Drosophila melanogaster: one gene and its partners. The protein of the gene in region 3 purifies or fractionates together with the protein of the main gene of each other region. This does not show direct contact. Each region holds a gene or a part of one and is shown on either strand. Other genes may lie near its edges.

The links.
Region 1: the proteins of wash (region 3) and capu purify together in Drosophila melanogaster (affinity purification with western blotting, with the first as the bait; one study listed by BioGRID). This does not show direct contact.
Region 2: the proteins of wash (region 3) and spir purify together in Drosophila melanogaster (affinity purification with western blotting, with the first as the bait; one study listed by BioGRID). This does not show direct contact.
Region 4: the proteins of wash (region 3) and Lam purify together in Drosophila melanogaster (affinity purification with western blotting; 2 studies listed by BioGRID, with this or other methods). This does not show direct contact.

What each region holds. Positions count from the first base shown.
Region 1 is NT_033779.5:3,899,633-3,905,042, forward strand, and holds the start of capu (cappuccino), read right to left. Parts: upstream 3,229-5,410; 5' UTR 2,963-3,228; intron 1-2,962. UniProt on the Drosophila melanogaster protein: Acts as an actin nucleation factor and promotes assembly of actin filaments together with spir. May play a role in intracellular vesicle transport along actin fibers, providing a novel link between actin cytoskeleton dynamics and intracellular transport.
Region 2 is NT_033779.5:20,308,707-20,314,543, forward strand, and holds the start of spir (spire), read left to right. Parts: upstream 1-2,512; 5' UTR 2,513-3,113; coding exon 3,114-3,708; intron 3,709-5,837.
Region 3 is NT_033778.4:12,178,364-12,183,346, forward strand, and holds wash (washout), read left to right. Parts: upstream 1-2,129; 5' UTR 2,130-2,177; intron 2,178-2,259; exon of another isoform or gene 2,260-2,262; 5' UTR 2,263-2,337; coding exon 2,338-3,837; 3' UTR 3,838-4,010; downstream 4,011-4,983. Other genes in the region: EndoG (endonuclease G), read right to left, coding at 1-110; CG8860 (uncharacterized protein), read right to left, coding at 1,224-1,430; CG13175 (uncharacterized protein), read left to right, coding at 4,433-4,858. UniProt on the Drosophila melanogaster protein: Acts as a nucleation-promoting factor by activating the Arp2/3 complex to induce actin polymerization. Participates in both linear- and branched-actin networks.
Region 4 is NT_033779.5:5,540,693-5,547,810, forward strand, and holds Lam (lamin), read left to right. Parts: upstream 1-1,787; 5' UTR 1,788-1,968; intron 1,969-2,086; exon of another isoform or gene 2,087-2,632; 5' UTR 2,633-2,639; coding exon 2,640-3,102; intron 3,103-3,345; coding exon 3,346-4,049; intron 4,050-4,114; coding exon 4,115-4,816; 3' UTR 4,817-5,950; downstream 5,951-7,118. Other genes in the region: Hel25E (helicase at 25E), read right to left, coding at 280-398, 461-644, 741-964, 1,031-1,229. UniProt on the Drosophila melanogaster protein: Lamins are components of the nuclear lamina, a fibrous layer on the nucleoplasmic side of the inner nuclear membrane, which is thought to provide a framework for the nuclear envelope and may also interact with chromatin.

The DNA of each region.
Region 1 (5,410 bases), on a different chromosome or scaffold from region 3:
TTATTCATAAAACAATCTTTAGTTACTGATTCTGTTGAGTTTTCATTTTTAAGCCGCATAATGGTCAAAAGTGTGATATTTTCTGGATTGCTATCGCGATTCATATAGCAGTGACACCTCACCGACACAGGGACTCACCCACACCGATACCTTCGCACACACACACACACACACACACACACAAACGCGCCGAGGGAAAGACAGAGACAGATAGACAGTTGGGGAACATTCGCATCGGACACCGTTTGCAGAGCTGCAACTTTAATTGCTTTGGTGGTTTGTGCCAAATTAGATTCTGCGGTTTTGTCGCGTCGCCATTCCGGTAATCGAGGGTGTACTGTACAACGGGGGTCAGAGTGTGATGGGCAAAGTGGGGTATGCGGGATGGTGTCTTGGCCATGGCCTTTTCCCCAAACTCCGTCGAGCTGAAGCCAAAAGCTGACGCTGACGCCCATCAATTAAACTTGTCAATGAGAATGCGATGCAACAGCAGGAACAGCAGAAATAGCGACAAGAACCCGGGGAATAAGAACTAATGGTGACGGTATGGGGGACTTGGAGCTTAGAACAAGGGTTATTGAAGGGAGCTCGAAACCAAACTAAATCGACTGAAAGTTAACTACATTTCACCCGCTTCGCTGGCATTCAAATTAGGTTTCTGTTCGAGACGTGTATATTGGTAATTTGATTGGAGTTTTAGAAATTGAATTCTAGCATGTTTCAAGAAATAATTATCGGCGATGCCACGGAAATCCACGGAACTCTGTATATGAGTTGTGCCAAGAAGAAATGTTTAAATTGTTTTTGTTTATAAAAACTTCTTCTTAAAGGTCACTTGAATATTTAAATTTGCCACAGGCACCTGAAAATACTTCCAAATGCAATCAGCATGGTCCCAGGTATAAGTGGCTTTACATACGCAAGTCGTGCAAATATTATTCCACTTTCCGTTGAATTTGGAATATTTGCAAAAGAATCTAAGGAAAAATGCCTGGCGTCTTTCGAAATTTCCATTTCTCGAAAGCCGCCGGCCATTGACATGACTCTGCGGACTTATCCTGTTGTTCGGTCCTGTCGTTATGGACTCTGTCCTATCTACTATCTTAACAATTGTGCGCACCAAGAAATTGATTTATTTTTGTTTACGCCAAAACAGCAAAAAGTTTACCACATTTTCTGCTCCTTCTCTCCAACTTGCCGTTGGCCAAGTTTTAGTTGGCTTATTGCGTTTGCACTGAAAATCAGAAGTATGTTTCTCAGGATTATTCAATATTTTTCTAACAACTACTTGGCATTTAATTTCTGATATTCCCACGAGCTAAGTAGAATTTTTATTTAATACCTTTAAAGAAGTATATTTAATAGTACAAATTAGACCTAATTATCTTCTCTCTGTGCAGTGCTTTGTTATCCGCTGCTTGGGAACAGTCGGTCTAATCCTAATGCTCCCTAATTACATTGGCCAGCAAGTCAACACAGTCTAGGCCAAGTTTCCCCGCTGCCTATTTGAGTTGGTCATGTCGCTATCTGCTTTCCAGCCCTCTTATCATTTTTTAGACCCATCTTAAAGACACTCCTAATTATTGGCCCTCTGGCGCACAATGCGGCCAGTGAACTGGCTGTTCTGGATTTCTTTTTTTTTTGCCGTTGAGCCCTGTTTATGTGGTTCGACGACACCTGGCGACATCAATTAGGGGGCAGGAATGAGCTCTTCGAAATGGAAAATCGTGGGAAAGTGGCGCCTCATACTGGCCGACAAATGTCAAGATGGCTGCAAATCTCTTTTGCTCTGAAAATCTGAGGTGTTGATAAAGGTGCGATTGAAAAGTTTGATCAATGATACTATTTAAGATTGAAAAGGGTTTCTCGTTATATATTTAGGAAGCAATTTTTCACACTTATTTTTATTTAGTTTTTAATCTCTTACAGTGCCTGCATAATTTGTATGCTTTTTATGCGCAAACATACAGCGCCGCAGCTTAACAAGCATTTTTTTATTTATTTCCCTCATATAAAGAATAATTTTTTTTCCTTCTTCCGCACTGTGGAAATTTATGAAGGGCCCTCGAAATGGCCTACGACCTCTATTCTGCCCCCAAACACATTCCCCAACCCCCGTCAGGTTGCAGCTGGGGGGTGAAAAAAAAAAACGTGGAAAACATCAGACGAGCAAAATGGCGAGCAATAAAAATAATTGCAAAATTCGAGATTCAGGTGGGGGCATGCGGCACGCTTAAAGTGGCACCTCTCTTAGCCACGCCCCCAAGTTTCCAAACCTCTCGCCCCTATTCCACACTTGGCAAACAATGGTGAACAGTGAAACAAAATGTTCATTGCAGTGTAAAATCTGCGAATCGCGGTTTTCTTTTTTTTCACTTTTCCCTCGGTTTGTGTGTGTTTTCGCGTTTTACAATCTGTTTCGCAACTCACGTAAAATATAAGGTAATTTGTGGAAATTTGATGTTTATCGTAAATTGTTTTTTATTTGCACAATGTCACCATTTTGCGGTTTGCCAGCAGCGCAAACTCACACACACACGCAGACTGACAAGCAACACACACACAGGCACGCATTGGTGGTCAGAGTTGCCAAGCAGTCAAAAAATAAAATTCCACAAAAATTGAGTTTTAAAGTTGCGAAATAATTGAATACACTTTTTAAAATCAAAACAAAAATCTGTTAAGTGCAATGATTGTTAAAAATACTAGTGTTGTGCCTAAGTTGTAGTAATTAAAAATAATATATATGAAGATTATTAATTATATATTATACATATATACTGGTCTTTAAATCTGATAAATCATTAATGGTCATTGTTGTTTAATGCTCAGATAGGCAAAATATATTCAGTTTCTGTAAGAATATCTGACAGTCGATCTACATTTTTCCACCTTAATTGTGCGCACCGCAAAAAGAGCATAGATAGATGGTAAAAACAATTGCAAACATTTTTCAATTTACCTGCATGGCGGAGAGGACTTTCCTCCTTTTGTTGTTTACTCCATTTTTTATTGCGTTTTTCTGTGGGCCCAATATTTTGGGCTTAATTGTGGCACGAATACCCCATTGCAGAAGGGCTAACAATGTGATGGCTATGACCATCATAGCCGGATAGAGCTCTTCCATTGGATACACAATCATCTTACCAAAACGATATACAACAAAAAAAAGGAAACGAAAAATTACACAAATTTTGACAGAATTTTGTATGCCTAACCCAATTGAACGGTGTAGACGAACTGCTTGTTTTAAATTTCATTTTATTTACTTTATAATTATCGTATATTCTGATTTACATTGTATAATATATCGTATATCATTACTGTCTAGGTTTACAATTAAAATTAGTTTAAACTTTTGGTTTCGCACTAAAAAGGTCAGTAAAATGTTTCAATCGCCTGGCGTGAACATTTCTGTTCTCTCGGTTCTTTTTTTTTTTAAAAGCAGATTTAATAGTTTACATTTAGTTTGAGTAAAAATTATAGAACGAAAATGGACAGTTTAATATAGTCGCAGACTTAGACTAAAGTTATTGGCTATTTTGATCATATTTGGTTTTGGATTACCAGTACATCTTTGTTTATATCTAGGTGGATACTTGAAAAATGCGTGGGTGGTCTGAGTTTGTTCGGGGACTAAATAAAACTCCTTAACTATTTTTAAAACTATTTTTTTATTATACATAGTTAAAAGTAAGATCATTAATTAAATAAGAAATACCATTTATAGATGTATCTTACTCAACGCCACAGTAACCCATTCATAAAAATGCAGATATTATTCACTATTCTAATAAATATTTTCGATTATGTTTTAAACACATTTATTTCAAATTAAATTTCTAAACTCTTTGGTTTACTCTGTTTATCTATTTACAATGTCCTTAAATCTTTAATATCCATTAAATAGTTTTTATCGCTAAGAGAAATTTATGTAACCTTCATTCAAAAACGAAATTATTTTATTTTACTAAATTCCTTGCTTCCGCTTGCAATTATTCAAATAAAATACTGATACATTTTTCATTTTTAATGCTCACATATTACGTTTTTATTTTGTTTGTTAAAAGTATCAATTATGTGGATTTATTACTCAAATATTTCATAACAGAGCTAAACAAGTATTGGATTAAAGATAATTCCCCCTTCTTTTATACTTTGCTGTGCAATTAAATATTTTGTGTATTTTTACAATATCACTGAGTGCTCAAGGGTTTTACTAACAATCGAAAGCAAGCAAAGAATTCTGTACAACTGATTGTTTTTACAACCCATTTCGATTTTATAATTTTAGAGCGAAAAAAGAAAGCAAAAAGGAATTTGTATCATTTTTGTTTCATCCGCAAGTTGGGAGAAAGTTTTGCTATAGTTGGCTGATGATTTTTCGGTAATCACCTTTCACAAATGAAGGTGAAAAGTAAATAAAAGTATTTGTATTGAACTTTTCACCCAGTTGTAGTTTACAAAATCGGTTTTAAGCTTCCCGCAGTTTAAAATTTAATTCGAATTCGTTTTGATGTCTGTTGATTATTCCATTTGCCGGCTATTATGATTTTATTTTAAAGATTTTCTCTTTTTGCTAAAAGATACTGTTTCTATTTGAATTTCCATATTTTTGCGGTCTTGTATGACGCTGTGTAGATATTTTTTTTGTTAGCCTATTTTTATGTAAATGCAACTCACTTGGACTTTTGACTGGCAGTACTAAATTTTCAAGTTTTTTTTTTAGCAGTTGCAATTTAATGACTCCATGTTCTACTATTTACAGATTGCACAGTAAATAAATTGATATTGTGTGCTCTGATTTTGCCGAGCTGAATTGCACGGAGCTCTTTGTGCAATGGCAAATTAATTTGCAAATTTACACAATCTAATTTTAGGTCACCGAGGGACCCAGACGACCAATTGTTAATTTGTAATTACAATTTTTGCATTATTATTGCTTGCCGACAATGCGAACAATTGAAATTAGCAGCGCAATTAGTCGAACCGAGCAAACAAATATTCGTTCCAATTTAATGCCCCAATGGAGACAAAAGCTAATGAGGAGTCGAAAAACTTTTGCCAACCTTTCCCCTTTTTCGCATTGTGTCGAAGTTTGATTTTTATTGGTCATGTTTATTTTGCATTTTGGGCTGACTGGGCGGAAAAGCAATTAAATGAACATTTTGTCTCTTTTATTTGATTTAAACGAGAACAATTTCCATATTTAAAAAAAAAAATGCATAGAAACCTCAAAGGTGGCTTTTGTGTTTGGCTGTCGGTTTAACAATGATTTGACCAGAATATTATGGCGGTAGTTTTGCAGTTTGTCGCCATGAACCTCAATATTTTGGCCACAGTTTTGAAAAAGTATTATTATTTTTAAATAAATAGAATAAGCAGTGAGCAAAATAACGTGGGCTGAATC
Region 2 (5,837 bases), on a different chromosome or scaffold from region 3:
TTTATCAAAAGCATCTCTAATATTGTTTATGGATATGGTTAAGTTTAGCCATTCCATGTATGTACCTTTTAGCGATGTAATCGCACTTGTACCTTTTTGGTGTAGTTTCTATTAGATTTTGTCTAAATCATTGGCTCGACTCATGTAAGTCTTTTCAACGATCTTTTGTGAAACTGATAAAGTTTTAAGGCCAGGTTAAAAGGCTGATAGGATAACTAAAATCAAAAATAGTAAGTACATTGAATTTAACTGTGGGGTTGTATCCACGACTTATGTCCCATTTTGATATGGGGAAAATTAGTCTTTATTTGTATATCAAAAGTACAAATAGAATTTTAACTTTGAGAATTGGTCAATTATTGTTATCTCGATCAGATATAAATATAGCTCGAAATTTTAATAGGTCTAAACTGTTGTTAAACATATTTTTACTTGATAGATGAATTCATTATACTCAGTTTACATCGGTTGCAATTTGCAATTTTACAATATTATTACTTATTTTAAGTTTAGGACTGAGTATAATGTGTTAGTTATGAAATGGGTCCCTGATAAGTTAGTAATTTTGTTGCAGCGGAAACCGCATCGACAACATTAATATAATATTTGGGCGGTTGAGGCTATGGCGTATAACGCAGCCCGCCGCTTTACTTCGCACCACGAAGTTGTTGATTGATGGCTGCAAGGCGCTCTTTGTAGCGCTGCCGGTCTTCCTCATTAGTTGCCGTCTTCAGTAGTTCGATGTTGAGCCTCCGGGCGCTGAGCAACTTAATCCGGCGGCCACCCCTCTTCTTTTTAGGTGGCTGCTCCCTCGCTGCAGTCCGTGCCTTGTACTCTTGTATGGTCAAGGGCTTTGGTCCCGCGGACGGATCTACCTCTATTACCTCTTTGATACTTGGCAGATCCCTTTGCTCGACAGGAGCAGGGTGTTCGAACGTCTGCTTGGTAGACATTCGCTGTTGTCATGTGCGGCGCGCCGGTGGAATCCTTTATCCTTTATCCTAATCCTACCCTCGCAGGATGCCGTGCTAATTGCTGTTGCGGCTTACAATGGTCGAGGGCAGTCGTTCATGCAGACGTCGGGTCTTTTCGGCTTGGGTGATGTTGAATTTTCAGTTATTTCTTCATTGATTATTTCTATTTTTGCTGAGTGAGTTGTGGTATTCGGCTTTCTTTGCTGGAGGTTTTCTTTCAGAAAGTCTAATTCGGCAGTTAATTTCGGTGCCGTTGCCCATGGGGGCGGTGTTTTATTTGTATATCATAGCCACTTAATATGTGCTATACCTTTATTTTTGATTTCCTGACATCCGCGTTTGCCCATTACCACACTCTACTCACTCAGTATTTTTGTTTCTTTTTTTTTTCATCAGTGTCCCGTCTCTAGGTCTCCCGCACTGGTGTAAGGGGCGGCCTGCCTCTCACACCTGTTGTCGCTGTTTAGAATTCCCAAATCAAATCGGCAATATTAGCAGCATTTCCTCAGTAGTCCTCAGATCGCAGGCTCCTGCCTCACGGTCGCCATGTAATAAACCAATATATGCCACCAATTGAGAACACGTGTTTTCCTTGCAGTTGGGTGCAGCCGTCAGGCCACCTTTTTATTTCTTCTTATCTCTTCGAGTAGCAGAAACGGTTCTGCCCGCTTAACCTCTACAGAGTGTCTAATCTTACCTAAATACTGCGACTGCGCCGCCGTCGACAGCGGCAGAAGAGCAGCGTATATATATATGTATAAGAGAGAGAGAGAGAGAGCTTATGCGCATATATGGCCAGCGGCCAGCGTGGGGATGCTGACTTAGCTTAAAGCATAAATGGGTGATCTTATATCACGCTCACTTGAGACATTTATTTATGCAATGCAACTAAGTGTTGCTGTGTACTTATAGGTACAGTGTACCCTCGATATATGCACATACTACAATATATTCTTGTAATCAATGTTTATATTATGTAAATCAGCTGTCGCTCCCCAAAAATTCCTTAATTCCAATTAGAAGACAACGAAAAAATTTCTCTTTATTTACGAATAAAAATTGTCCCTCAACTCCAATTGGAACGGCTGATCCGTCAACATTTTAGTCGGCAACACTTTAGTCTGCAACATTTGGGAATGTTGCATCATCTTGTTGCTATGCATGTTTCCACGGAAAAAGAGAGTATATCATAACAAGAGACCATTCACTTTTTTCGTTTTGAAGCAACAAATTTGAAAAGAGAAAACTTTATGTTTTTCCCGCGGGCTTGTTTGTTTTTTTTTTCTCGCTCTCCGTCGAATTGACTCTACATTTTGATGTGATCTTATTATTAGGTGAATCAGCTGTCTTCAAAAGAACAGTTTTAATTAAAAAAAAAATCCCTCAATTCCAATTCAAATTTCATTTAGAACACAACGAAGATATTTCTCTTCTTGTACGAACAAAATGCTCTCTTAACTCAAGTTGGAACGGCCGTTCCGGCAACATTTAAGTTGGTAACATTGTTGCATGCTGCATGCATTTGAGCACAAGAGTGTCATTTACGATTAGCAACTCGCGGCGAACGGACGTGTGTAAAAAATAGCCGGTGAGAAAAAACGAAGTGCGATTGCCGAAGAAAAACAGAGAGATTTCAAATAATAAAGAAATGCAAATGAAACAGAAGAAAATAAAAATAAAGCAAAGTGCGTGATTTCCATCTCCTCAGTGTTGTGAAATTTCTAGCAGAGTCTAACGGCGATTTGCGAATGCCGACTTAAGAAGTGCGAAAACAAAAACGTGACGCCAGTTTAAAATATTCTCAAGCGAAAATCATGTGTTTTTTGTTATACCCTGTGCTTTGTGTTTAATGTAGCTGACGACAAACAAAATATTAGAATCGTGTACGTCGGGAATCCGAATTCCATCCCCTCGTGTTGTGTTATTATTGTATTAAAGTTTCCTTTGCCATTTACCACACACAACACAGAAAAACAACAACAACAAAACTAAACCAAAATCGAACCAAAAACAAACCGCGAATTTTGCAGGTTAGCCCACCCGAAAGAGGCAAAAAAATCAATTATATGTTGGCCAGTGCCGGGTTTGCAGTGGAATCGGGTTGAAAGCCATCGATAGCCACACACGCCCACACACATAATGACGGAGCACCAGGCCGAGGAGCAGGCGGACACGCCGCCCACCAAGGTCAAGGCCACGCCCACACCCACCCCGAGTGGAAAGTTCAAGGACGCGAAGGAAGACGCCTTCCTGTCCACATCGCCGGACAGCGCCAACGGCGATGCCCAACACAAGCTGCCAGCGGACCAGCTGGCCATGTCCTCCAGTGCGCATCCCCAGCAGGCGGGCCAAGCCCGCCCGCTCATCCTGCAAGCCTTCCACCGCTGCTCCTCGCCAGAACAGTGCGTCACGCTGCACGACATCCTGGACTCCTTTAAGGCGCCGCTCTCCGAGGACCAGGCCTGGGCCCTGATCCACCAGTTCGCCGGGCTCTACCACCAGGTGGCCGTACAAGCGCACACCTGTGCCGCGGACTACGAGGCCGCCCTGCCCACCGGATTCGAGCTGCACTTCCATCGCGACGGCAGCGTCCACTTCTCCGGCCCGGATCAGCTGACGCCTAAGGAGCAACTGCAGCAGGAGCAGATCCCCCTCCCCCCGCAGCACGACGTGATTGTGGATCAGCCGGACCACAGCGCCAGCAGCAGCGGCGACAGCAGCGTCATCAACAGAGGTAAGCAGACCGACCTACTGAAAAATCAATATGCATACATATTTCTCACGGCTACAGTTAGCGGAAATTAATATTCCTGCAGTTTATGCCAGTTGTTTAATTAACGGAAATTAACTTAGTATGAATCTTCTATTCCTTGAATTTTTAATTTATTATTTTTTAAATCATGCTGAAAATATTTGAACTAAAATTGATCTATAGTCATAGTTATTAATGTTATAACATTTATTTATTAACGTGCTGCACACAACTGGCAATCTTTAGAATCTATATAGAAGTGGAAATGTTCAATACAACATTGATCAACTAACAATTTGGATTGATAACCTAATGAACCTGCCAACCCCAAATGACATTTTAATGTCGTTTTTCCTTACAATTATAGTAACATGTTTTAATCACAAATAATTTATTGTACATTGCACGCAAATGCAATTTGACTACCTTTAAGCTAGCAACCCGTGTATATTCTTTCGACTTTGTGTTAAGTTCTGTATCCTTTGAGCAATATTTCCTATTATTTTTTATGAGTCTTCCTAAAGATATATATATAGTTTATGTGTATTTCGGCCCGTCAGAGGTCAGTTGGGTGTTGACTTCAGATGCGGAACTGTAACAGTGATGAAAACTGGGGCTGTGATTAGCTGGGCCGGAAAACCGGTTGCGCTGATGCCTCTCCGAATGCTGAGGGGTCTTTGTCTTTTCGGCAAACGCTTTCATTTTCAGTTAATAAGCCACAGTTAACTTCTTTCTCTCGGCCTTTTATTTTCGGACATCTGCCGTGATGTGGGTTTCCGTGTGCCATCCATCTGACTATTGGCATCGCCCGGCCATCGCCAGCGGAGTCCCCAGCGCTTTCCAAACAAACAACCCACACTATCCGCCATCCGATGATGACCTCTGCATTTAAGTTATGCAGCCAGCCAGCTTTGATTGGGGTTTTCCCCACTTCTGCCTTCTGTCTGATTGCGTGCTGGCTTGGGAAAGTGTAAACGGCGACTCCCATGAAGAAGGTACCATCCCAGTACCCTATCAGCAGTGTTTTTCACTTTCTTTTGTAGCTCGGAGAGCACAAGTATCACTGGAAGAAAGGCAGGTCATGTTCGGATTGGGCAGAAGATTGAACGCTTTTCCTTGCCGCAATACAATCGAATCCAAATCTACGAAAGTAGATTTTTTCCAGTGTAACGATCACAGCCTTTCCTTTCGGCATTCCCCCTGCATTCGCTGTAATTGATGGGGGGATACTTTTTCGCCTCTCGATCTCTGAATCTACAGAACGTGTCTGAGTCTGTCTCGCAGCTAATTGTTTAATCATTCGTCTGCGCGGGGACTGTCAAAATACAGGTCGGTAATCTATCGACTTTTAGATAAGCCACGTTAATTGGAAAATGCGTTTCTGAGTGGGTAGTGATGGGAATCTTGGATTTCGTTCTCCTAGGTGGCCCTTAATGTGACTCAGCTCAGCTTTTGGTCTGCAGCATTAACTGCATTCCATTGCATCTTTCTTCGTATGGGCCTGTCTATCTCTATTTGGCCAGGCCAACTCTGCCTATAGCCGGCTTTTGTATCAGCGTGGCCAATTAGTTAGCTCTTATAGACAATTAGCCAGTTACATGGGTAATCTTAAGGGCACGCAGATACAGGAAGTTACAGTATTAATTGAACTGTGTAACTCGGAGGTGAAGGAACTATAGATGGCTGATAATGCTGTAGGAAGTCCTAGGGGATTTTAAAACCCATTTCAGTATACTACTTAAAATTCAGAAATTTTCTTTTATAAATAACTTAAAAAATGTTCTTAGCTCTTAAACCTCTGTAATTAAAGGTCTGTGATCGTCAATTTCTTATCTAAATTCACACGTAACCTTTGTTTATGCTTATCATCAGAACTTTCCTCGGGCCAAACAGAGATCACCTTGTAACACCTTAATTGCCGCTAATTCAGCCGCTAAAATCCAAGCCATTAGGTGAGATATCGAAAGGTTTTGGCCCGGGAACCTCGAGAACCGCCAGCGGGGGCAATTAGTCTGCTCAAACAAGTTATTACAGATGGGAGACGGACCAGACGGGTGGATGCCATCAGATTCAGCACCTTCTAATGGCTTTCGGTCGGCTGCTTCTGTGTT
Region 3 (4,983 bases):
CTTGTGGAGCCATTGTGCTGGCGTTCGCGTTCCACGTGGGTGCCCAGATAAAAGGCGCCCAGGGCGGTGGCACCCAAAGCTAATACGCCACCCACTCGAGGAGCACTCATTTTGGCAGTTTTATTTAAAAATCTGGACAAAAAGACCAGATAGCGACCGCTATTGCACAATTCAGGTACTTTAGTGTGACCACAGTTTAAAGTGGTCGAACGAACTACAGTGAAAGACATAAATATATGCACGGATTGCTAAATTTGCTTGGGAAAATAAGTAAGTATACTATGTATATTTCATTAATGTATTAATAACTTAAAAAGGCGACGTGTGAGCTTTAACCGTAGCCCAAGTCGCAAATGGTGGTACTTACCAATTCCATATAGATAGATGGGCTTCGTGAACAGCAAGATATCCGAGCTCGAATAACTCGTCGTGGCAGTTCAAAATTCCAGGGCTGGATATCCCCTCGTCTTATGTGCTCTAATACACACTCGGCGTGTAGCAGGTTGTAAGAAATTCGCGTTTAAAATCAAATAACTTAGTGGGCGCTGCCATGTTTTAAAATTTATTCGATAACCGATCCCCGACTTAAAAGGAAAAGTGTGACCATCAATTTATAAAATTTAGCTTATATTTTGTAAAAAAATTGTTGCTTCTTTGTTTAGGAATTTTTAAGAAAAAGCAATTGTGTCGCAGAACAAAACGATGGCTAAAACAGTAATTTTAAAAAGGCATACAACACATATAAAATTATTTTTAAGGTTAAAGAAAGATTTTTATAACAGAATTAAAATCTTCTAATTTTAAAGCAATATTAGGCGAACCCAAATACATGCCATTGTACAATGTAGAATTTAATGTTAAATCATCTCTATGTTAAAATAACAAAATATAAACATTGTCAATTGGAAGAACGATTCAAAATAAGCAACTCGACCTAGATGAATGAAATAGTACAATACATGCCATTTTGTTGCTGAATGATAAGCTAAGATTTTGTTGAATTTTGGCTTAGTTGCATTCGGAAATATATTTACAACATTTTGAGCACACCCTCCAAGCACCCAATTTATAACCAGACTTTCTTATCTCAAACCCAAGCCAAAGATATTACATTGTATTGTGTGTATAAAATCCGAAGAAGGGGCATTTATTTCGCTAAAGATGCGCGTGGAATCGTGAACTACATGTAATCTCTTTCCGGTCCGGGGGCCACCTGCCGCTTTCTAGGATCCCACGATGATGTTGTTAATGGGAATGTGAATCAGCTTGACGAAGAAGCCGATGAAGCCCATGATGGCGAAGCCCACGGCGGTGGCGATGGCGATTTTCTGGAACTCCTTGCGGTCGGGTTTTGTGCAGCGCTTCACCAGGCGGATTGAGTCCTTGGCGAAGGCGCGTCCGGGTTCGGCGAATTTGACAACCTTGTCCATTTTTGATTTGTGAGTATTTAACTAAGAATTACCAATGAACTGAATTGATATTTATTTTGCTGCCGTGTCGCTTCTTGCAGTGTTACCAAGTTCCTCAGCTCAAAACATACTAAAAATTAACGCCTTTCCTTTAGTTGTTAATAAATTTTTTTTTTGGTTGAAATATAAGTGTATTTGAATTATTTTAATTTATTTTGAGTTTTTCTTTAAATTGAACCCATTCAATTATTACTTTGAAGCAAATCATTTAATGAACAGTTTTTAACAATTGATTTGGGCACACTACCCTACCCTAGCGTCGATGGAGGAACGGTGGATTTTTGAACATATGGACGTTTTCTATTTATTTATTTTTTCGTCATTTGGAAGTGAATTCCAAATTCCGTGCTCCGGAATGGCGTGCTTATAGGCTTACATTTGCCTAATTTAGTAATGATCCTGAATAAATGATCCCCTGATTAAAAAAGTTCTCCTAACAGTGGGATGAGTTTGAAAGGTATTTAAAAATGCCGCCTTCTCTAGTAGAAGTACTACAGCCGATCCGTGTCCTTAACTGCTTTATTAACAGTAATAGTTTTGGGAGACACCGCAGTTTATCTGAGGGTTAGTTTATCTGAAGGTTAGTTTGTTTCCTGGTGGTTTGTTTATCTGGTTAGCTTATCTGGGGTCTAGTTTACCTGAATGATAATTTACGTGGGAGTTAGTGTAACTGAGGGTTCAGTTGACTGGTGTTTCGTTTAGCTAGGGGTTAGTTAATCTGAGGTTTCGTAATTTTAAAAGAAATCCATTTAATTATTACTTTGAACCAAATCATTTTTAACATCTTGTAAAGCTTTTAGAGTTGGTCACACTACCATGAACAGCAGTAAAATTGCAAATAAATATGTAATTATTTGGCGATAGAAAAATGGAGGAGTCACCTTACCTGCACAGCCCCTACCAGGTGGCCATTATAGCCACCGACCTGCACCACGAGGATACCATAATCCAAGCAGCCCAGTCCCTGGACTGTCTACACAAAACCATAAACTCGATTTTCGAGCGAATCGATGCCCGCTTGGCGAGAAATGGTTCAAAGGTTGAGGACATAAACAATCGTGTGAAGCGCGCTCAGGCAAAAATCGATGCGCTCGTTGGCTCCAAGCGGGCCATCCAGATCTTTGCACCCGCCCGCTTTCCGGCCAGCGACGTCCTGGCACCGCTGCCAGCCACCTTTCCACAGGTGGCAGCCAATCCCCTAATGGAGCAGCAAGTGGACCAGCTCCCGCAAGGGACGTACAGCAGTCACAGTGCCGCGGACCAGAAGCCGGATGATGCGGACATCTTTTTCCATGTACGTGGCGATCGGGAGCAGGAATCGCCACTGGTCGCCGAACGGAAGATAACCAATCGGACCGCTGGCCTGGGCATCCTGCCTGCGGGTGGAGTGCGCTCCGTACCCTCGCTCATGCGATTCAATACCAATGAGTTCGCCTACGGCGAGGATCTGAATGCCTGGAAGCGATCCCTACCGCCGCAAAATGCTCGACGCGTTGCCAGTCAGTCCACTCAACTCACGGGAGAAAAGCAGCTCGCTCCGGCACCTCATTCGCTGGCCCACGGCACCACCAAACTGGCCACTCCAGCTGGGGACCTGCGCTACAATCCTGCTGCTTTGGCTGCACCCGCCATTGATGTTCCGCTGGACCTGCCCGACCTACCGGGCATAGCGAATGATCTGCAATATGAGCCAGTGGAGGAGCAAACACCAATAGCGCCTTCCCAGCAGTTCGGTGATTTACCAGAGCTGCCGGATTTGGGCCTCGAGGAGCAGGATATAATAGTGCAAGCCATCGCGGCACAGACGCACATTCCGGGACCGGTGCGTAGGAAGAGTGTGGGACAATGTCCTTCGCCAGTTACGGCGGCACCACCGCCTCCTCCTCCGCCACCACCGCCGCCTCCACCTCCTCCACCAGCGCAGACGAGCGCAATTCCATCACCGCCACCCTTTCCCACCAAAGGAGCTGTGAAACCGCTCTCCCCGTCGTTAGCAACACCTCTTAACATGCCGCAGCCGCCTCCAGCTACTGAAGATCCGCGATCTGAGCTTATGGCCGCCATAAGAAACGCCGGTGGAGTGCATGGCGGTCGTCTGCGGTCGCCTGCGGCTGCGCCGCTCGACGTGGTGGACAACAGTCGCTCCAAGGCGGGAGGCGCTGTCACGGGGGATTTGATGGCAGACCTGCATAACAAGCTAATGCTGCGACGCAAGGGAATTTCTGGGAGCCAGAATCCCGTGGAGGCCACTGCTGGCAATCCCCTGATGCAGCAGCTCTCCCGCGTCATACCGCCGCCGGTGCAGCCCCGCAAGGGATCTAAGTCGAGTGACGAACACTCCGAGGACGACGAGGATGGGTGGAACTAGTGAATATTTAGCTTTAGTACCGGTTTAAGTGCCTTGGCTGGCTTAAAGCACTAGCAACCTAGGTTCTCTAGCTTAAAGCATACAAATTTCTAAAACGAATTCCAAATTCTGTGCCCAAGCGAGCATGCCAAATTAGGTCAAAGTCAACCAGTTGAATAAAACTACATATTAGCAGAAATGTGTGTAATTTCTTATTGAGAACATTGGCTAACTTTAATTGATAAAATTACAGGACAATGAAACATTTTGTGATGCTAAATGAAATAAAACAATTCTTTATACTGACTAAAATAAACTCGATATTAAATTATAATAAAACACTAAATTCTAGTTTTAGATAACAGCTATTTTCCTATTTGAAATAAACGAATTTCCCTGTTAAATCCTTAACAGCGCTGTTGTGTTGCTCTCTGCCAGTGCTGTAAAATGCCGCAGTGGAATCACATTTCGGGTAAAAACAAATTGAAATATCCACCGAATTTAAATATTAAAGTTAGAGAAGCTGCCAAATATCTGGAGTTACAATCAGGGACAAGGACAAGGACTACTACACTAGAGGAGAGCTTTTACAAGCAATCCGGTGAAACCACATATAATGACAAGTCCGTCGCGGGATATAAACGATCTTTTTGACGATATTGTCCTGACCGAGGAGAAGGAGGCACGTTTGGGCTACGAGGAGGGACTGAAGGACGGCCAGGAGCAGGGCAACGAAGAGGGCTATAAATTGGGCTACGCCCAGGGAGTATCCCTAGGCGAGGAGCTCGGCAAGATTCTGGGCCAGGTGGTGGCCCAGCAGCAGCTGAAACACACGGACAAGGTGCGTCGCAGCTTGGAACAGTTGCGTTCGCTCATCGAGGAGTTTCCCCGCACCAACGATCCGCAGGCGGACATAGTGGGTGCTGTGCAGGACATTCGCTCCTCCCATCGTCGCCTTCGCGCCCAGCTGGGATCCAAAAAAACGCCTGGTGCAGCGCCTGCAGAGACCAATTCTGTCGAGCACAAGGACTACAGCTTCTAGCCTTATAGCACCATGTCCAAGGTGGGAGTTGTGCAGTTGCAGAGGCGTCTGGATGGCTTACTGGCCTTCCTCAATCCGCACTGGGATTTTGTCAATTGCCACATGGTGAACTACTTGACGGACCA
Region 4 (7,118 bases), on a different chromosome or scaffold from region 3:
TTTGCAACGGTTGCCAATTTCCACGATTAACCATTTAGAAAATGGTGTCCGATAGTCATTAACTAAGTTTTTCGATACGAGTTATGCTCACAGAGCGCTGGACGTTTGGTTGTACGCGTTTAACCATTTGCAAGATGGTGGTTGGCTTATACGGAGGGGATCAAGATCGAATGTTCGATATCGCGTGGCATTAACAAAATAATAACTAATTGTCGTGATAGCGGTGGATGCGAGGTGGAGAAGTACGAGCATTTTGGTTATGAACACGTTGATATTTACATCTTGCATGAACTTTTTGCAAACGGGACGAATGTCCTTGCTCAATGTGGCAGAGAACATCATCACTTGTTTGCCGTGCGGCGTGCTACGGAAAATCTCTTGAACGTCACGACGCATATCTAAAAGAATGGTTTGGTTATTAGTAAAACGTCCGTCATTTGGTGATTATTAGTCAACTTACCCAGCTGCTCCAGCATCTTGTCGCACTCGTCGAGCACAAAGTGCTTCAAAAGCTTCAGATTAAGTTTCTTGTTGCGAATGAGGGCGAGAATTCGGCCAGGGGTGCCCACCACAATATGCGGGGTGCCGCTCTTGAGGGTCTCCTCGTCCTTTTGAATAGCCATTCCGCCAAAGAAGACAGCCACCTAAATAGAAAACATATCGAATTAATATATAGTAACTATATAGTCGAACCAAACTTTTTGTTGAATTATATACAATGGATTAAAACGTAGACTCACCTTGACTGTGGGCATGTACTTGGAGAATCGCTCATACTCCTTGCTGATCTGGAAGGCCAGCTCGCGGGTGTGGCACATGACCAGGACGTGGCAGGTGTTGTTGTCCGACGGCTCCAGCTGCTGCAGCGTGGCCAGAACGAAGACGGCGGTCTTACCCATGCCGGACTTGGCCTGACAGAGGATGTCCATGCCCAGTACGGCCTGCGGAATGCACTCGTGCTGAACTGCAAGCGGAGAGCATCGTTAGTGACTGTACCTTTCGTCACTCCAGGTGGAGTGCAAGTACTCACCCTCCGAGGGATGCTCGAAGCCGCAGTCCACGATGGCGCGCAGGATCTCCGGTTTCAGGAGGAAATCGCGGAAGCCGGAACTGTGAATGGACACATAGGTGCCCTTGACATCCTTCTTGGGGGCCTCCTGGTTTTCGACCGCAGTGGTCTCGGTCTGCTCCTCATCCTCGTAGTCCAAAAGATCGTCATTGTCGGCCATTTCTGCGGCTTTCTTACCTTTAACTAGTTATCGGCTATAAATTCGCAACTAAATGCTGGGAAATAAAATGGGTGCGACTAGATAAGTTACATGTGTTTGTTAAAGAAAATGCCGCTTTTTTTTGCGGAACCGGTGCCGGCGTTCCCTCCGCCATTTTGTTTTTTCACCGCACCGCATTACATGTATTTCGAAATAAAACGAAATACCCATTACAAGCGACGATTTTATTTAGTGCAGTGTGATTTTCAGTGTCAAACTCACCTTTTGTGCACGTTTATCACTTTAAAATACAGCTTTTAAAGTGAAATTAACTATTTTAAAATCTTTAACGTGATGCGGAGGAAAAAACAGCGCAGAGCAGTGTGACCGAAGTACGTTTAAGAACTCATGCGAGCTGAGCCGGGTGATATCGTTAAGTTATCGATAGTTGTGCACAACAAATCCATTTGTAAGCTTCAACTAAAAAGTTTTTATAAAATATATGCCTTCTAACGCTTTAAATTAAAATGGCTTGTTGAGCTTAAATTTAATTTTTTTTTTATCATTTTGGGGTCAAGCGGTTCTTAGTCTTTTATCTAGCGCGGCGTTTGGTCACACCAGGCATGCCGGAAAGTTATCGATTAGTCTCTGAAACCATCGCAACAAATTCGATTACACGTTCCAGCGTCGGCCGCGTTTTCCTGCTGCAAGATACTTCATTTTCAAATTTGTGCATTTTCCGTTCGTTATAAAAAGTCAGGTGAGTTGCGCTGCTATCTACGAGCATTAGGAAAACTTGTAGAAAAAGTTGAAATAACTGATTAAGTGCCGAACAATAGAGGCGGCACTGTTTCACTCAAAATCGAAATAACCCCCCTGCCTGTATTAGTGTAAAGTCGCTGTAAATATTGAATTAAAATCGCCATATTGTGCAATTTTTGGCTCCTTATCAAATCGTTTAAAGTGCGTCGACTGGATTAGCTAAGCGTTGCGATTGATTAAACTAGTATTAGCCGCGCCATTTGCCTCCACGCCCATAAACAAACGCCGACAAACTCACTTCGTTTTCCTCGTCCGCTTTAGTACAGTCGCTTGAGTGGAAAGCGATGTGCGTGTGTGTGAGTGAGACGTAGAGGAGACTGCGAGAGAGAGAGAGAGCGCGTTAGAGAAACTCGTTTAGCTTCTGTTTTTGAGCGTTTTGTGCGTTTCCCCTCTTTCGTGTTCGGTTCTGTTTGGAATTTTATCAGGGCGCAAAAATAACATACCCTACACCGAACGAAAAAGTTCAAATATAAGTATTGCATATAAAACGCGTTTAGAAGGCACGCAATTGTGTTATTCAACTTTTCTTCAAGTGTTGTGTCCTAAAGAGGTCAGTCACAAAAATCTCACGTGTTATTCTGCACATTTCATTTGTCTTGCAGCGTGAACATGTCGAGCAAATCCCGACGTGCTGGCACCGCCACGCCGCAGCCCGGCAACACCTCCACCCCCCGGCCGCCATCGGCGGGTCCGCAGCCGCCGCCGCCGTCCACTCACTCGCAGACGGCCTCCAGCCCCCTCAGCCCCACCCGGCACTCGCGCGTGGCCGAGAAGGTGGAGCTGCAGAACCTGAACGATCGCCTGGCCACCTACATTGACCGGGTGCGCAACCTGGAGACGGAGAACTCCCGCCTCACCATCGAGGTGCAGACCACCAGGGACACGGTCACACGCGAGACCACCAACATCAAGAACATCTTCGAGGCCGAGCTGCTGGAGACGCGCCGTCTGCTCGATGACACAGCTAGGGATCGCGCTCGTGCCGAGATCGATATCAAGCGTCTCTGGGAGGAGAACGAGGAGCTCAAGAACAAGCTGGACAAGAAGACCAAGGAGTGCACCACTGCTGAGGGTAAGTGCGTGGAAACTGAATCGATAAGAAAACCTTATAATTGTAGGGCAAAGAAAGTAGAGTAATGATAAAATTAAAAGTAAGAAGAGACAAAAGGCGTGGTTTCAAGCAAGAACGAAACATTCATTTAGTTGCTGAACTGTATATAATGATTATCCCATGATATTCCTCACTTTCTGTGACAAAATCATCCCTATTCTGGCATTTAACGAACATTAATTGATTGATTATCCCAACCCGCAGGCAATGTCCGCATGTACGAGTCGCGCGCCAACGAGCTGAACAACAAATACAACCAGGCCAACGCCGATCGGAAGAAGCTTAACGAAGACCTGAATGAGGCGCTAAAGGAGCTGGAGAGACTGCGTAAGCAGTTCGAGGAAACGCGGAAGAACCTGGAACAGGAGACACTGTCGCGCGTTGACCTGGAGAACACCATTCAGAGTCTGCGCGAGGAGCTCTCGTTCAAGGATCAGATCCATTCGCAGGAGATCAATGAGTCGCGCCGCATCAAACAGACAGAGTATAGCGAGATCGACGGTCGCCTCAGCTCCGAGTACGATGCCAAGTTGAAGCAGTCGCTGCAGGAGCTGCGCGCCCAGTACGAGGAGCAGATGCAGATTAATCGCGATGAAATCCAGTCCCTCTACGAGGACAAGATCCAACGACTGCAAGAGGCCGCCGCACGCACATCCAATTCCACGCACAAGTCCATCGAGGAGCTGCGCTCCACTCGTGTGCGTATCGATGCGCTCAACGCCAATATCAACGAACTGGAGCAAGCCAATGCCGACCTCAATGCGCGGATCCGTGATCTGGAGCGCCAGCTGGACAACGATCGCGAACGCCACGGTCAAGAGATAGACCTTCTCGAGAAGGAGCTCATTCGGCTGCGCGAAGAGATGACGCAACAGCTCAAGGAGTACCAGGACCTTATGGACATCAAGGTTAGCTTTAATACTTGTCTAAAATCGTGTACGTATTAATACATAAATCTAATTATCCTGCTTAGGTCTCCCTGGATTTGGAAATCGCCGCATACGACAAGCTGCTGGTGGGCGAGGAGGCTCGTTTGAACATCACCCCAGCCACCAACACGGCCACAGTGCAGTCCTTTAGCCAGTCGCTGCGCAACTCCACGCGAGCCACGCCATCGCGTCGCACTCCCTCTGCTGCCGTGAAGCGCAAACGCGCCGTGGTCGACGAGTCGGAGGATCACAGCGTCGCCGATTACTATGTGTCCGCCAGTGCCAAGGGCAACGTGGAGATCAAGGAGATCGATCCCGAGGGCAAGTTCGTAAGGCTGTTCAACAAGGGCAGCGAGGAGGTGGCCATCGGTGGCTGGCAGCTGCAGCGGCTAATCAACGAGAAAGGTCCTTCGACCACTTACAAGTTCCATCGATCGGTGAGGATCGAGCCAAATGGCGTGATCACCGTTTGGTCGGCGGACACCAAGGCCTCGCACGAGCCGCCATCGAGCCTTGTGATGAAGTCACAGAAGTGGGTCTCCGCCGACAACACTAGGACGATTTTGCTGAACTCCGAGGGCGAGGCCGTGGCCAATCTGGATCGCATCAAGCGCATTGTGTCCCAACACACATCCTCCTCCCGGCTGAGTCGTCGTCGCAGCGTGACCGCCGTGGACGGCAATGAGCAGCTCTACCACCAGCAGGGCGATCCTCAGCAGTCAAACGAGAAGTGCGCCATTATGTAAAATCAAACGCAGCACAACACAACTCTTTCCTCTTTGCTGAACAAGACAAACAAAATAAGCACACACGAAGATCATAATTTAGAACCCAAAAACACACACACCGAGGTACAGAGATTTATTATTCAGCTAAGTTATTTTTTGTGGCCGCAGCGCCAATTATTTAATCAAAAACATTTGTGTAGAAGACATCCTGAATCTTCGTTTCGTTTGTACACTTTCGTTTTCCCTTTCTTAACAAATTCTATAGTTTATTGTTTCGATGTTTTTGTATTTCCGCGTTAACTAATCTATTGTAAACTTTATTTGGTATAAACTGGAGAGGCATGTTGCCTCTTTTTTATGCCACATAGAATTTACGTAAGACGTTCACTTCTTGTATTCGCGGCGGCAAGAACTTTGAAAATATTGCAAGAAAAACAATATTTTCGATGTACTTACGCTCCACCTACATATTTAGTAAATTAGTTTTTAAGCTATATCCCAGATAAACCAGTCGACGTCAGCAAACAACAACAAAAAAAAAACAACGAGCACGTAGTGAGTGATTTATAAGATACAGGTCAAGAGGATTAACTAAAGAAAACAAACGCTCCTGACAACAGACATATTTATTTAAGTATTTTTTGTACAATCAACATAAAATACATTATACATTATACATACATATACATACATACATTATATATATAGACTCATGCCTACGGAAGTGACAACCAGCCAGCAATATATATTTTTAGCCATGGCCATAGGGTTTACGATCCACCAAAACGGCTTTCTCCCGGTTTAGACCGGTTCTTGAGCTTCCTGCAGACATTTTACCGGACGAGCAACAATAAGAACAGCAACAACAACAACAGCATTAACAGCAACAACACAAATGTACAACAATTACAAAAGCAACAAAGAAGAAAAACGAAAGAAAATGGAAGTACACGTAGCGGCTCAGCGATCCGTCGCATTTTTTATGGGTGGGCGTGGTCGCGTTTTACGCCGGCCAAACAAATGCAACGCCCACACAGACTATTATACAAAAACTGATGAATACAACTAAATTTTAAGTACATCTACGTTTATGTATGTAATTGCTAATAATTTGATAATTAAAAAATAAAGAAACCATGTTTAATAAAAATTAAAAACAAACTTTGATTTAGCAATAGAGAGAAAGACATAAAAAAGTATTAAATAGTTTTAAAGCGTATACTGAAACCAATAAGCTCCTACGAATTTCGTAATAGTAGGGTACGCATTTCACTTTCGACGCCTGGTGGCCCTTTTTTCGTCACTCGCTTTGCGTTTCTATTCGTCGCCATGAGTTATTTTTGGAATTTTAATTTTTCTGCGTCTGTATTAGTTGCCTACATGCTTTTTCAATGCGTGTGTTCGCTCATAAACTTTATTTTTGAGTGACTTATCGATTATTTTTGAGTGCAGGACGTTTCAAAACCAACGTGCTTTCGCATTTATAAATATAATTTCTCTTCTTCTTCCGACCATGATTGTTTCTTTTAAAAATGTTAGGTGTCAACCCTGTCGATAGAGAAGAGAGCAAAATCCACTCAAACGAAACGCACTCAACGCGAGAGATGCGGTTAAAGTTCGTTCAACTGGCAAATGCAGTGACCGTTTAACCCGCGATAACGATAACAAAAGTATCTCAAGGTTGCTTGCAATTGCATTTCTGATTATTCTCTCTCTTTTTCTCTCTCTTATTCCAACCGCAGCCGCAAAAACAAACTCAAACTCGAGCTAATCGCTGCATAAATTTGCTGTTCGAATTGAACAATTGAACAGTCTCAGTTAGCAGCTGAAATCGGAAATAAGCGACAAAAGCAGCAGTGCGAGCAAAAATCAAGTAATAATAATCATCAATAAGCAGCTGTTTGCATTCGCGTGTTTTGAAGGTGAGTAGCCAAGTTAATACATATGTATATTGCATAAATGCAAGTACAAATCGCATTGCCAAGTGAAAACGAAAGTGTTTTCCATGGGGGCAACGCCATAAATGGATTAATTGTCAATAATGGCCAAGTACTTGCGGCTTATCAGCTGATTTGGACAATAAACAAGCGAGTACACACACGAAAAACACAACTGAATGAGCCGCATTACTCTTGTATCTTATCAACATCTAATCTAAATCCTGGGTTCGGCTAGTTAACGATAAGGCCTTTGTTTTTCCATATCGGAACTGTCATTCCTTTTCGGCACTCACAGCCGGTAATGTGTTTTAGATTTTCACTGAAAAGTAAGATTATCATATTCTGCACTTATTTCATATATTTAATAACGCTTTCAGCTT